3 linked regions of the Drosophila melanogaster genome follow. The protein of the gene in region 1 interacts with the protein of each later gene in a pairwise test. Each region holds a gene or a part of one and is shown in the gene's direction. Other genes may lie near its edges. The genes, in order: CG17377, teq and sol.

Region 1 (3,704 bases):
ATATGCTTGCATTGACCCAATCAAAACGTAGTACAGCATTCAATTCAATTTTATAACATTTTCCATATAGAAATTGCTAAGTGTAATGAAATATATTAAAATGTTTATTATGTAGATAAAGAGATGCTTTTAAATGCTGTTACCTTTACACTACCAATTTTGTTATAGAACTAAAATAATAATCTTTCCAACTGACTTATAATTTGGAACCGTTCTTGGCGGCCAACAGGATATTGAGGACATCGTCGGCACAGCCCCAGCACAAAGTGACTCCACTGCCGCCATGTCCATAGTTGTGGATGAGGAGCTTGCGGCCGCGGCGCTCGGCTTCCAGTCGGAGTTGGGTGCGACCCGGCCGGAGACCTACCCAATCAAAGAGGCACTCCGTGTGCTCCAAACCAGGAATGTACCGCTGACAGCCATCGACGATCATCCGCCTGTCGTTCTGGCAGACTTTAGTGTTGTAGTCCCGCTCCTGATGGGTTCCGCCCAGGACAACACTTTCGGTGCTTAAATATTTCAGATATTGGAATACGAACAAATAAGTGTAACTGGCAAATACTCACTTGGGTATAATATAGTTGCCATCATCACTCTCGTCCAGCACGGCAGAGAAAATCCAGTTGGCCCTCACCCGGGAAACTTGGCCACGCACTGCGTACATTTGATCGTCGTTTAGTAGGGTCTTAGAGCCCAATCCGGAGCAATTGACTATCACATCGTACTCGGAATCGGCTACAAATGCATCCAGGTCTGTAATCCTTTTCCGGACAACAACACCTCCATTTCGGGTGAAACGCTTCATCAAATACGGCAGTAGCTTAATGGGCTCCGAGGTGTAGGTAACAAAGGATAAACCAGACCTAGATATGGTTTAGATATGTTCATATTTCAGCAAGTATAAATCTATGGATATCTATGAATATTCTTACGTGAACTTAACGCTGCGACCTTTATTGTAGGCAGCCAGCTGTTCCTTGGACAGATCCACTGCTCCATAGACAATGTCACGCCAAAAATCTTCGACCGTGTCCACCGTTGAGGTGCTCAGCCGAATGCAGGGTAGCAGACAAACGCCAGCCTCTCCGGCATCCTCGCTCAGCCAGATCTTCTCCAAAAATTGGTGCATGCTCTTCGACCACTTGCTGATGGAAAAAAAGTTATAAGTAAGAATATAATATAGTGACTAGTAAAACTTACTAGACTTTCGCCTGCGAAGTGCCGCCCAGAAGGTACGGACCCCAGAGACCAGCCGAACCATCTCCAGTTGTGTTAGGCGTGAAGTCCTCCGATATGATCGTCACCTTTATGGGTGTCTTTCCATCGTTCACATAGTGTTCCAGTATCTTAATGGCACTGGCAACACCATTAACCCCGGCACCGATAACTGCAATGTTAGGCATTGCTCCAATCCGATCAGCTTGGGAACTTGGAATGAACTGAAAAGAGGATCGCTTATCAGAATTGTAAGCAAATCGCATAATACAATTAGCTGATAACAGAGCTTTTAAAAAGAGCGAAAAAGCTTTTTGCATTTTGAATCTAATATTAACTCTTTCTTAAAATCTAGTAGGCTATAATTCCAACAAGTTGGCCTTGCATTTCATCTCAAACGGAACCGAATATGTGTGTTGGGATGTGTTGATCATTCCTCATTCGATACCAAACTCTCGGACCTTTCGTTTCGGCCAGCTTCTAAATTTTCCAAATTCCAAATTTTTCTTCCAAATTAATTTGACCAAATAGAGTAAGTTTATCCCGGGAAGACCATAGTATATTTTTAAATCCTTTGTCCTGTAGCGCTCGACGGGCTCAAGATGTGTGACGGATGTGGATCGTTGGAGGTGAGTAACCATATGCAACACACCACTGACCACTTGTGACCACTATGTATGCATCCTTTCCAGCCGCGCGGATGCCGCAGTCGGGAGTTACGATGCGGCATCATGTACACCACTTGCGACTGCGTGAAGCGGAACGGTCTGCAGGACAAGTGCCCGCGGTCCGCCTGCCAGGGCCGACCGGCCTGCCTGTGCTTCCCCTTCCCCACCTGCGGTCCGGCGGCATTCCCGCTGCGCTACGCTAACATGATGATGGGCGTGAACAATAAGCGTATGCGCTGTGCCGCCACTGGAGCACCAAATGGCGGTGCCGGATGCGGTGGACGCGTTGCCGGCGGCTGCTGTGGATGCGGTCCCTGCTGCTGTAATGTATCGCCCTGCTGTGGCCCGCACAGTCCTCCATGCTGTGGCTCGCACAGTCTTCCATGCTGTGGCCCGCACAGTCCTCCATGCGGAGCTCCGTCGCCCATTCCTTGCTCCTCTGCTCCGGGCATGTGCTGCCCTCCGCTGCCTGAAGGCGGCATTCCCGATCCGCGTGTCTGGAACTACTATAACGCACCTGTGACGTACCCATGTAAGTCCGGTCCAGGTCCGTCCACCTGTCCGCCTGTCTGTCCGTCTGCTTGTCCATCTGTCACGGCGCTGGGCGTCCGTAGAACGTAAAAACCATGGAGCGGAGGAGCACGAGGCATGCCCAAGGACTTTGCAGGTCACAGCATCTGGAACATGTGCTTGTGGTGACGCTTCATGTCCTTTTGCAGGAGCTTTATGCCCACTACGCTGATCCGTCAACAATGATAGCATGTCCTGGGCTTTGTGAGCGTAGAGGTAGGATCCATGGACCAAATGCTGTTGCCAGGCCCCAAATCCTTCATGACCCTTTGACCTCCATCCGCATCCTGTCGCGTGTAAGTAACTGCGATACCTTCTGCATTCACTGGTTTTACCTTTCTCATCCCACAGGTGGCTTATAAGTATTTCCTGGCAAGTGTTTCGATCGGATCCTGATATGGGCCACTTCCTTGGCGGGACATGTTGTCGTTTTGTGACGTAGTTTTGGTTGATAAAAAATTGAAGTTGGCTTAAATCAAGATTTAGCCAGCTGCGGAATACCCATTACTAGAAGGGCTCGAAGCTATTTGGGAACCCATGTGCAATTCGTCAGACGGTCTTGATTTAAACACAAAATCATATGTTGGTATCTGGAATCTATTTGGCATTAAATTACAAATAAACAAATTGAAATTATATTCTGTGTATTATGGGGGGTGTTAAAGGTTGCGTTTATTTTATGGCTGCACTTATGCTTCGAATATTTATATTTTAAGCCTGGCATTAGAATTGTAAATTAAGGTTGAAACCTTATGCCAAGGCCATAAAAATTTACGTTCATATGTCCCACAGATATTCTGATATTTATATTAATTAATATCAATTTTATTAGGGTGGGTTTCCGTGGCATTTAAGATTTAATTAATTAAAAGTTGAACTTTGCTGATAGTACTTTGTTTTAAACCCATTTTTTCGAGCTGGGAGAGCCATGTTCCAATCTTAGTGAGTTAGTTGACCTAAACAATTCGCGGGTCAAATATTTTGTTTTAGTGAATAAGGCAAATATAGATATATAATTATGTAGATCTGTGGCGATTTCATAATCTTTGCTAAGTCGAAGTAGGCCATGAAATTTCATAAAGTTGGCCATGACTTTTAAGCCAACCCGAACCGAAACTTGAACTGGATGTGCTGGGCCAAGGGAACAGCTAACCTCATTCGATATCTGACTCTCGGACCAGTCGCTTCGACTTCTAAATTTTTTTCTAAATTCCAAATTTACTTTTTCGATAATAACTCAACCAAAAAAGT
Region 2 (3,753 bases), on another chromosome or scaffold:
CTTATCAACGATTAAATGATTTCAAATTAATAACTGCATTTCAATGTTTCCTAATTTCGGATAGCAAAAAAAGCATCGTAAGTTAAGGGTTAATGCAACTACAATGCCTAGCTACGGCCACACTGATTGAAGCCGTGTTATGGTAACAATCAGCTGTTCACAATGATAACAACTCGCACTGCTGATTCTATATAGTTGTTTACGTTGATTATTAGTTTTATATTAATTAAAAATGTCAGCTTTGCTTCTTTTACGCACCTGTAGAAGTTCATCAATTGCTGGCATCTACAAATACACATACCAAGGAACAACTATTGCGAATCACACATGCAATCATCGTCTGTCGTCTACAGAAGCGGCGGCCGCGAGTGTCCAACTGGCAAATGCCGGTGGATTGGTGGGATATTGGCAGACCTTGTCCAACAGCACGCCGGTGGCCTATATGCAGGATGTTCTCATTAAGATCCACGACTACAGTGGCCTGCCCTGGTGGGCGTCCATCGTGCTGTCCACTTTCCTTTTTCGGAGCGTGGTCACCCTGCCTCTGACCATTTACCAGCACAAAATCACCGCCAGAATTGAAAAGATAGCGCTGGAGATGCCGGCCATTGTGGAGGAACTGAAAAAAGAGGCAGCCATGGCCAAGCACAAGTTCAAGTGGAGCGAAAAGCAGACTCAGATTGTTTATCGGCGTTCGGTTTGTTAAAATTCAAATGTTTGCGAGACACTCTTCGTCATGTCAATTATCTTACAGATCAAGAAGCAGTGGCAGAACCTTATAGTTCGGGATAACTGCCATCCCATGAAGACCATGATTGTGCTATGGGGTCAGATTCCCCTGTGGATCTTTCAATCCGTGGCTCTGCGCAATTTAGTGTACATGCTGCCGGATCCCACGTCCATTCAAGCTCAAATCGTGACCACCGAAATGACCATTGGCGGATTTGGTTGGATACCAAACCTTACGGTGGTGGATAACTCTTATATCCTGCCTGTAGCATTAGGTCTTATCAATTTGGCCATCATTGAAGTGCAAGCCATGTCTAGAACTCGTCCTTCTACACGCTTGCAGAACATCGCCAACAATGTGTTCCGTGGATTGAGTGTTGTGATGGTTCCAGTAGCCTGTACAGTGCCTTCAGCTTTATGTGTATACTGGGTAGCTTCCAGCAGTTTTGGCCTTGCTCAAAATCTGCTCATCCTCTCGCCGGAAGTGCGACGATCTGTGGGAATTCCCAAAACACAAACGGAACTCAGTGAGCCGTACGATCTGCTCTGGCTAAAAATACAGCAGAGGCTAAGACTTGCCGAGAGGGCGCCGGCTGATAAGCCGGCAGCCAAATGATCTAGTCTCTTAGTCATAATCACCTAGTCTAATTTGGGTATGACGTTTAGTTTGTTTAAATGCGACTGCGCCACTGTAATTCATCATCATCATTCTTAAGCTCCAACATCTCAGATTCATAGAAGTAAATAAATGAGTGAAAAACCCCAAAAGAAATGCAAACAAAACAAGGCGATAAGACAGCAAAAAGGTCTTGAGATTACAAGCCCTGATAGTGTGGTCCACTCAATTGGTTTGGCGACAAACGAGAGCATCTATCAGCGGCGGCAGAGATAGAGATTCATCCCGAGTCCAATTGAATTGAAATGCGATCTGGGTGTGGGTCAGTCGAGCCTGGAATTCGAACGGGATCACAACGAAGAATTTAAAGCGCGAGAAAAACAATTGTGTAGTTGCTATCAGCATCGGTGCATTTTAAGAAATATTTAAATTCAAATACTTATAAAGCGGAAACGTAAAATGATGGCCAAGTGGCTCCTTGGCCTTTGGCTGGCGATCCTGCTAGTGGATGTTAGTGTAGAAAGTTTATTAATAATTTCAAATTGTGTTTTTTAAGGATATCATCTAGATTCTAGATTATTTACAATTTTTTAAGATTTTAGTCAAACTAAAAATGTTGTTTAGGAATTTAAAACGCGCTTAAGACTTTAATTTTAATTGAACTTAATTACAAGCTATTAGCTAAATTTTGCCTCTAATTACTTACGGTTGTTCAATAATATTTCATAATTGCGCTTTTGACAGCGACCCGGGGCTAAAGCTTATCGATCAGGCAGTGGCTACCACAGCGAGCAGTCGGAACCAGTTGGCTTATCAGCAACAGGGAACGCACACTCGAGTTACGGAGGCGACCAGCAGCAGCCTATTTACCATCGGGATTCGGCATGCCCGCCGCATTTTACGGGTCTGGTTGCATATCCCCACGACTGTCATCGCTATGTGAACTGCTTCGATGGCAGCCCCACCATTCAGACGTGTTCGCCCGGAACTCTGTTCAATGACAGGACCCAGGTGTGCGATCATCCCAGCAATGTGGTTTGCCCTTCAGCGGAATCTGCATCTACTCGACTGGGAAGACTTAGGCAATTAGATAGTGAACCCAAGTGTCAACCGGGAGTGAATGGATTGCAACCGCATCCTTCGGATTGCAGCAAGTTTCTTAACTGCGCCAATGGTCAAGCTTTTATTATGGACTGCGCACCAGGAACTGCTTTTAGTCCAGCATCACTGGTATGTGTGCACAAGGATTTGGCCAAATGCGGATCGGGAACTGGAGCAGTACGAGATGATACCTCCGGCACCGGTACGTATGAGTGATTTAAATACAAAAATCTTGACTAACACTCGGTTAGGCTACCCTGCGTTGCCTTTTGATGACTTGGGCTGTCCACCCGGTACACGTGGGCTTCGTCCACATCCGCACGACGTGCACAAGTATTTGAGGTGCGGAATTGGGGTTAAGCCTCAGGTGGAACAGTGTCCACGGGGCCACATCTTCGATGGCTCCTCTTCGGTATGTGTGTATTCTGACTCCCCTCGGACCTCCTGTAAGTGTCATTTCATTTCTTATCCCTACTGCTTGGCCTCGCTTGATTCATCTGCTTTTTCATTTCGGGTTATTTTCTCATATTACGCTGTACACGCTTTGCTTGCCTGCTTAGTTGATAGACTCTAATCCTGATCCCTTTGAATTGTAACAGCTTCCTCCTTCACGTCGGCTGAGATTCAGGTCAACTATCTCTTGTGTCCAGTGGGAGCCGTTGGCCAATTTGTTCATCCCTTTGATCAAACAAAATTCCTTAGTTGTAAGGATGGTAAATCGGCTGTGCAAAACTGCCAACCTAATTATGTGTTTAGCATATCGAGGCGCTACTGTCAGTTAAAAGCACAATTAGCCTTTACCGACTATGTCACATTAATTATCTCCGAAATCAGCTATGAGTATTGTAAGTTACTTTATCATCACTGTACACTAGAATTTATGATAATATTTTACTAGCACTTATCCTTAATGCCTGTCCTGGTAACATCAACGGCATCTTCTTGTATCCCTACGATGCTAAAAAGTACGTTCAGTGCTCGTCTGGTGGCAGAATGTCCATCCTAAGTTGTGGCCCCCAGATGGCATTCAGTGTATCCCAAAGAAGTTGTCTTCCAAGTCATCAAGTGCACATATCTGATCGGGTGCAGTTCTGGCAGGAAGTCCAAGTTCAGACCACTTATACTTCTCAAGACTTACGGGGAAATGTTCAAAGCCAGCTGTCTTCACTTAGATCGTGTCCACCCAATGTCCAGAAGAATTACCCTTATCCATTCCATGCTGGCCACTATGTCAGGTGCCAATATGGAGCATTAGAGATCATATGCTGTCCCACTGGACAGCTTTACAGCCTCTCCCAGCGTCAATG
Region 3 (3,753 bases), on another chromosome or scaffold:
TCCACCAGCTTGGCTTTGGTGGCTGGCGCACCGTACTTGAGCATCCGTTGCACGCAGAACTGGGCGTATTTCGACTGGCACATCTCCACGGTGAAGGGAAGCAGCTTCTCAGAGATCTCGGCCCGCAGAGCTGGCGACGCGTACTTTAGCATGCTCTGGATCACGCGGGCGGTGTCGTGGGCCTTCACCACCTTTGAAATAGTGTCGCCCACGTTGAGCACCTTGTATATCTGCTCCACCAGCTTGTCCTTGTTCTCCGTTCGGCGGCTGCAAGACAAGCACCAAATTATGTTGATATATATATATCAGAGCAATAGGATTTGCGCATTCATTAGTTGTAATTTTACGAAAAAAAAAAAAAACGCGACAGAGGATAGAGCTGGTTTGTTTATGACCAAACAAAACAGCATGCGCTAAATAGGCGTCTTTGGAATCTACGCTCTTGGTTCTAACTCAACATTTATACAGAAATACAAGGCTATATTAACTTAGTTTTGATACTGATCAAAATGCTTAACTAGCTATTATTGTTTCAAGAACATGAATAAAATGTTTGGTGTTTTTGAATTCGAACCAAGTGGCAATGTTCGGTTTTTCCACGAACAGGTGCTTCGTTTTGGGATCCACATGGCCATGTTTATCGATATCTTGTCCTTTAAGGAACCAAAATGACTTATAATTATTAAAACTATATCGTATAGATTGATGCCTTATGAAATTTAAACAACTTTGTACGTTCTGAATGTACATAAGTGCATGAAAGAGCCCGATTTTGTTGAGCTATCATAATTTGTATAGGTAATTTGAGCGCTAAGGATGATAATAACCGATTGTTTGGGCTGTTCATCGTGTTTTTGGGGATGCTCACCATCGCAACTTCTCGTGGATCTGGTTGGCCTCCTTGCTGATCTCGTAGGTGTCCTTGGCACTCTTGCGCTTCAGCTTGAGGTCCTTCTTCTCCTTCTTGAACTTGTTCCAGTCCTGTTTCTCGCCCTCCGCCGGCGCCTGTGGCTGTGTTTGTGGTTTTCCGCGGAACTTGTTGCCACCAAGCCTCTTGTCGCCGGTGGCTCCGGATTTGTCAAACTTCTTGAAGCCACCGGGCCCAGACTTGTCGAACTTCTTGGCACCACCAGCGCCTGGCTTTACAAACGACTTGCCTGCTCCTCCGCCGAATTTGTCGAACTTCCTGGCGCCTCCTGCTCCACCGGGCTTAAACTTCTGTCCGTTGGCGCGCTTGCCGGACGATTCATGGGCCTTGAGGGGCGAGGCCGTGTTGGCCACGTTAGCAGGTCCTTTCGGCTCCGAGCTAACCATCTTTGCTGCGTTTTCTTGGACACTACAACTAAATAACAGCAAATGTTTTTGCCAAAAAAGCGAACTACACGTGCTGCTGATGCAGAGTGACCAGATTGTTGCAGTATACCCAAGCTGTGTAAATACCAAAATCTGGTATTTTCGTTCCACATACAGTAAGTATCAATGAAGTGCTTCTATTTGTTTAAAATTTAACTCAAGTTAATGCGTTCAGTTCAATTTGACTTTCCATTTGAAAGCGGCTAAAAAATAATAATCCATGTCTAAATATTAAATTTAAACTCTTCCTAAACTAAGCTCCTCAATGTTGATTACTTGTTATAGAAGGTCAAATAATTTTATGCATGTATTTGCGTCGTTTTATGAATATATGTATGTATTCATTCCCAAAAACATATTAGAATTGGTCTAAAAATTGAAGGTACCGATTTTTCATTAACGGCACTTGCCAACACTGGCTTTGCGGGGTAGCAGCCGTGTTTCTCGCGCTGGCAACCCTGTCCGGCAGAGTTCACGCACTCGGGCAACCTTGTCGTTGGAGGTGTTCGCGAACGTCGACAACCCTAGCGGCAACAGTTAAAAAATGGTGTGAAACGGCGACGGAGAACGCGGCGTGCAACTGTTGGAAGCCACTGCTTGGTCCTCGTTTTGGTCCCGGGTTCTGGTCCTCCTATTGATCTCCATCTCCGCCCGGCCACCAGCTCGAAAGCGCACCTACACATCATAGTTTCCATAGACAGTCCCAGTTCCACATCCACTCCCCCGCCAGCCAGCCAACAACAACAAAAACAACAACAGCAAGAGAAACAACTCAGAAGTCGAAAGGAATCTGGGAACTCCTGCGACTCCCCCGCGCAATGGGCACCATCTCATCCGTGCTGCAGTGGTCGTGCACCAAATGTAACACTATCAATCCCACGGAGTCGCTCAAGTGCTTCAATTGCGGCACCGTCCGCAAGGTGTTCCCCCAACAACAGCAGCAGCAGCATCGCAGCAGCAGCATCACCGCCTCCTGGACAGCTGATGATGCACTGGAGCAGGAGCAGGCGGAGAAGGGGCAGGAGAGGGACAAGGAGAAGGGCAGGGCGGCGGTTGCCAGGTAAGCGAAGCGGTCGCCACAAAAACAAACAGCCTGTATGCCTCCTCTGCGAGGATGTGCCTGTGTGTGTCTGTGTCTGTATGCGTGTGTGTGTGTGTGTATGTGGGCGCCAGTGGTGGCATCCAATTGGAGGACAAAAGCGCTAGCTAAAATCATGTCGCATATGGTAATGTGTATAGAAATCGGTGGCGTTTTCAAATCCAACTTTTTTCGCACACACATTGTATGCACACTTTGGAAAATATACAAATACACAAATATGTACATACTTTCATCGGTAAAATTCGTCAATCAAAAACCTTAACTTTCAAAGAATAATAATACCAAAAGCTTACCAACGTAAGCTCCTATGCTGAACTTTAATATCCAAAGAGCAGACCGAGTAAATCTTAGTAAATTTTATAGTTCTCACTAACCCTTTTGTGCATAATGAAACTTAAAGAATAAGAAAACAATGAAATCGGTTAGGAAAATCCTGATTAACTATCCATAGGAATAACTCGAATGGGAGTATAGGAATAAGTTGAAAGATTTTTATATTACGAACTTAAGTTTCGAAAGGCTAGGAAAAGGTACAGTGTGTACAAGTACACAGTTCAAAAGTCTAGCTTTAAAAGCCAAGCCGTCGGCACTGGTGATTGTCCCTGAGCGTGTGTGTGTGTGTGTGTGTGTGTGTGCGCGAGTGTGTGTATGTGAGAGCATGTATACACAGCAGAGGCAGAAGCAACAACAAAACAGCCGAGGAGCAGCGAGAATTGGGGAAAATCGATTTGGATAAAGAAGCATTGTTTACAAGTTTATCGATTCGCGAACTCGCTCGGCGATCTGAAGAGCAAAAGAGGTGTAGGAACAACTTCCGAGTCGAGCGGACGAGCGGAGAGTAGGAAAATGGCCAGTCATTGAGATAACCTTTGCGGTCAGGAAGTGGGGAAAGCCCAAACAGCTCAAGAACACCGAATCCCATCCAAACCCGACGAAAAACGAAAAACCCCATTTCCCTATTTTGCAGGAGCGAGTACAAGCATGTGTACAAGTCCCTGCTGCGCGGATGCTTGAAAAGACCACAGCGGAACAGCCAGAATCTGCCCGCCAACTGCGTGGATTGCGAGGACACGCGCAAGTACATCAAGAGCTCTATTGAGCTGTACCGCCACTTCTCGAATCCGGCCCTGAATCGGCGGTGGGTGTGCCACGCCTGCGGCACGGACAACAGCTCGGTCACCTGGCACTGCCTCATCTGCGACACGGTCAGCTATCTGGCGCCCATTTACAAGGACGCCATCGCCGCCGACCGAGGCCAGGATCTGGCTGGCAGCCTGGGCAATCGCGGCGAGCTGCTG

The links.
Region 2: the proteins of CG17377 (region 1) and teq interact in a two-hybrid assay, tested with the Drosophila melanogaster proteins (one large-scale study listed by BioGRID).
Region 3: the proteins of CG17377 (region 1) and sol interact in a two-hybrid assay, tested with the Drosophila melanogaster proteins (one large-scale study listed by BioGRID).

What each region holds. Positions count from the first base shown.
Region 1 is NT_033779.5:6,800,751-6,804,454, reverse strand, and holds CG17377 (uncharacterized protein), read left to right. Parts: upstream 1-1,665; 5' UTR 1,666-1,747; intron 1,748-1,800; 5' UTR 1,801-1,817; coding exon 1,818-1,844; intron 1,845-1,907; coding exon 1,908-2,504; 3' UTR 2,505-2,602; coding exon of another isoform or gene 2,603-2,604; 3' UTR 2,605-2,747; exon of another isoform or gene 2,748-2,749; intron 2,750-2,804; coding exon of another isoform or gene 2,805-2,815; 3' UTR 2,816-3,077; downstream 3,078-3,704. Other genes in the region: Daao2 (D-amino acid oxidase 2), read right to left, coding at 197-509, 567-863, 933-1,145, 1,201-1,403.
Region 2 is NT_037436.4:9,072,975-9,076,727, forward strand, and holds the start of teq (tequila), read left to right. Parts: upstream 1-1,668; 5' UTR 1,669-1,804; coding exon 1,805-1,855; intron 1,856-2,089; coding exon 2,090-2,648; intron 2,649-2,697; coding exon of another isoform or gene 2,698-2,892; intron 2,893-3,045; coding exon of another isoform or gene 3,046-3,291; intron 3,292-3,344; coding exon of another isoform or gene 3,345-3,753. Other genes in the region: CG4942 (uncharacterized protein), read left to right, coding at 233-697, 755-1,345.
Region 3 is NC_004354.4:21,348,438-21,352,190, forward strand, and holds the start of sol (small optic lobes), read left to right. Parts: upstream 1-1,842; 5' UTR 1,843-2,171; coding exon 2,172-2,413; intron 2,414-3,197; exon of another isoform or gene 3,198-3,324; coding exon of another isoform or gene 3,325-3,329; intron 3,330-3,422; coding exon 3,423-3,753. Other genes in the region: peng (penguin), read right to left, coding at 1-267, 869-1,314. UniProt on the Drosophila melanogaster protein: Has a role in eye development. Calcium-regulated non-lysosomal thiol-protease.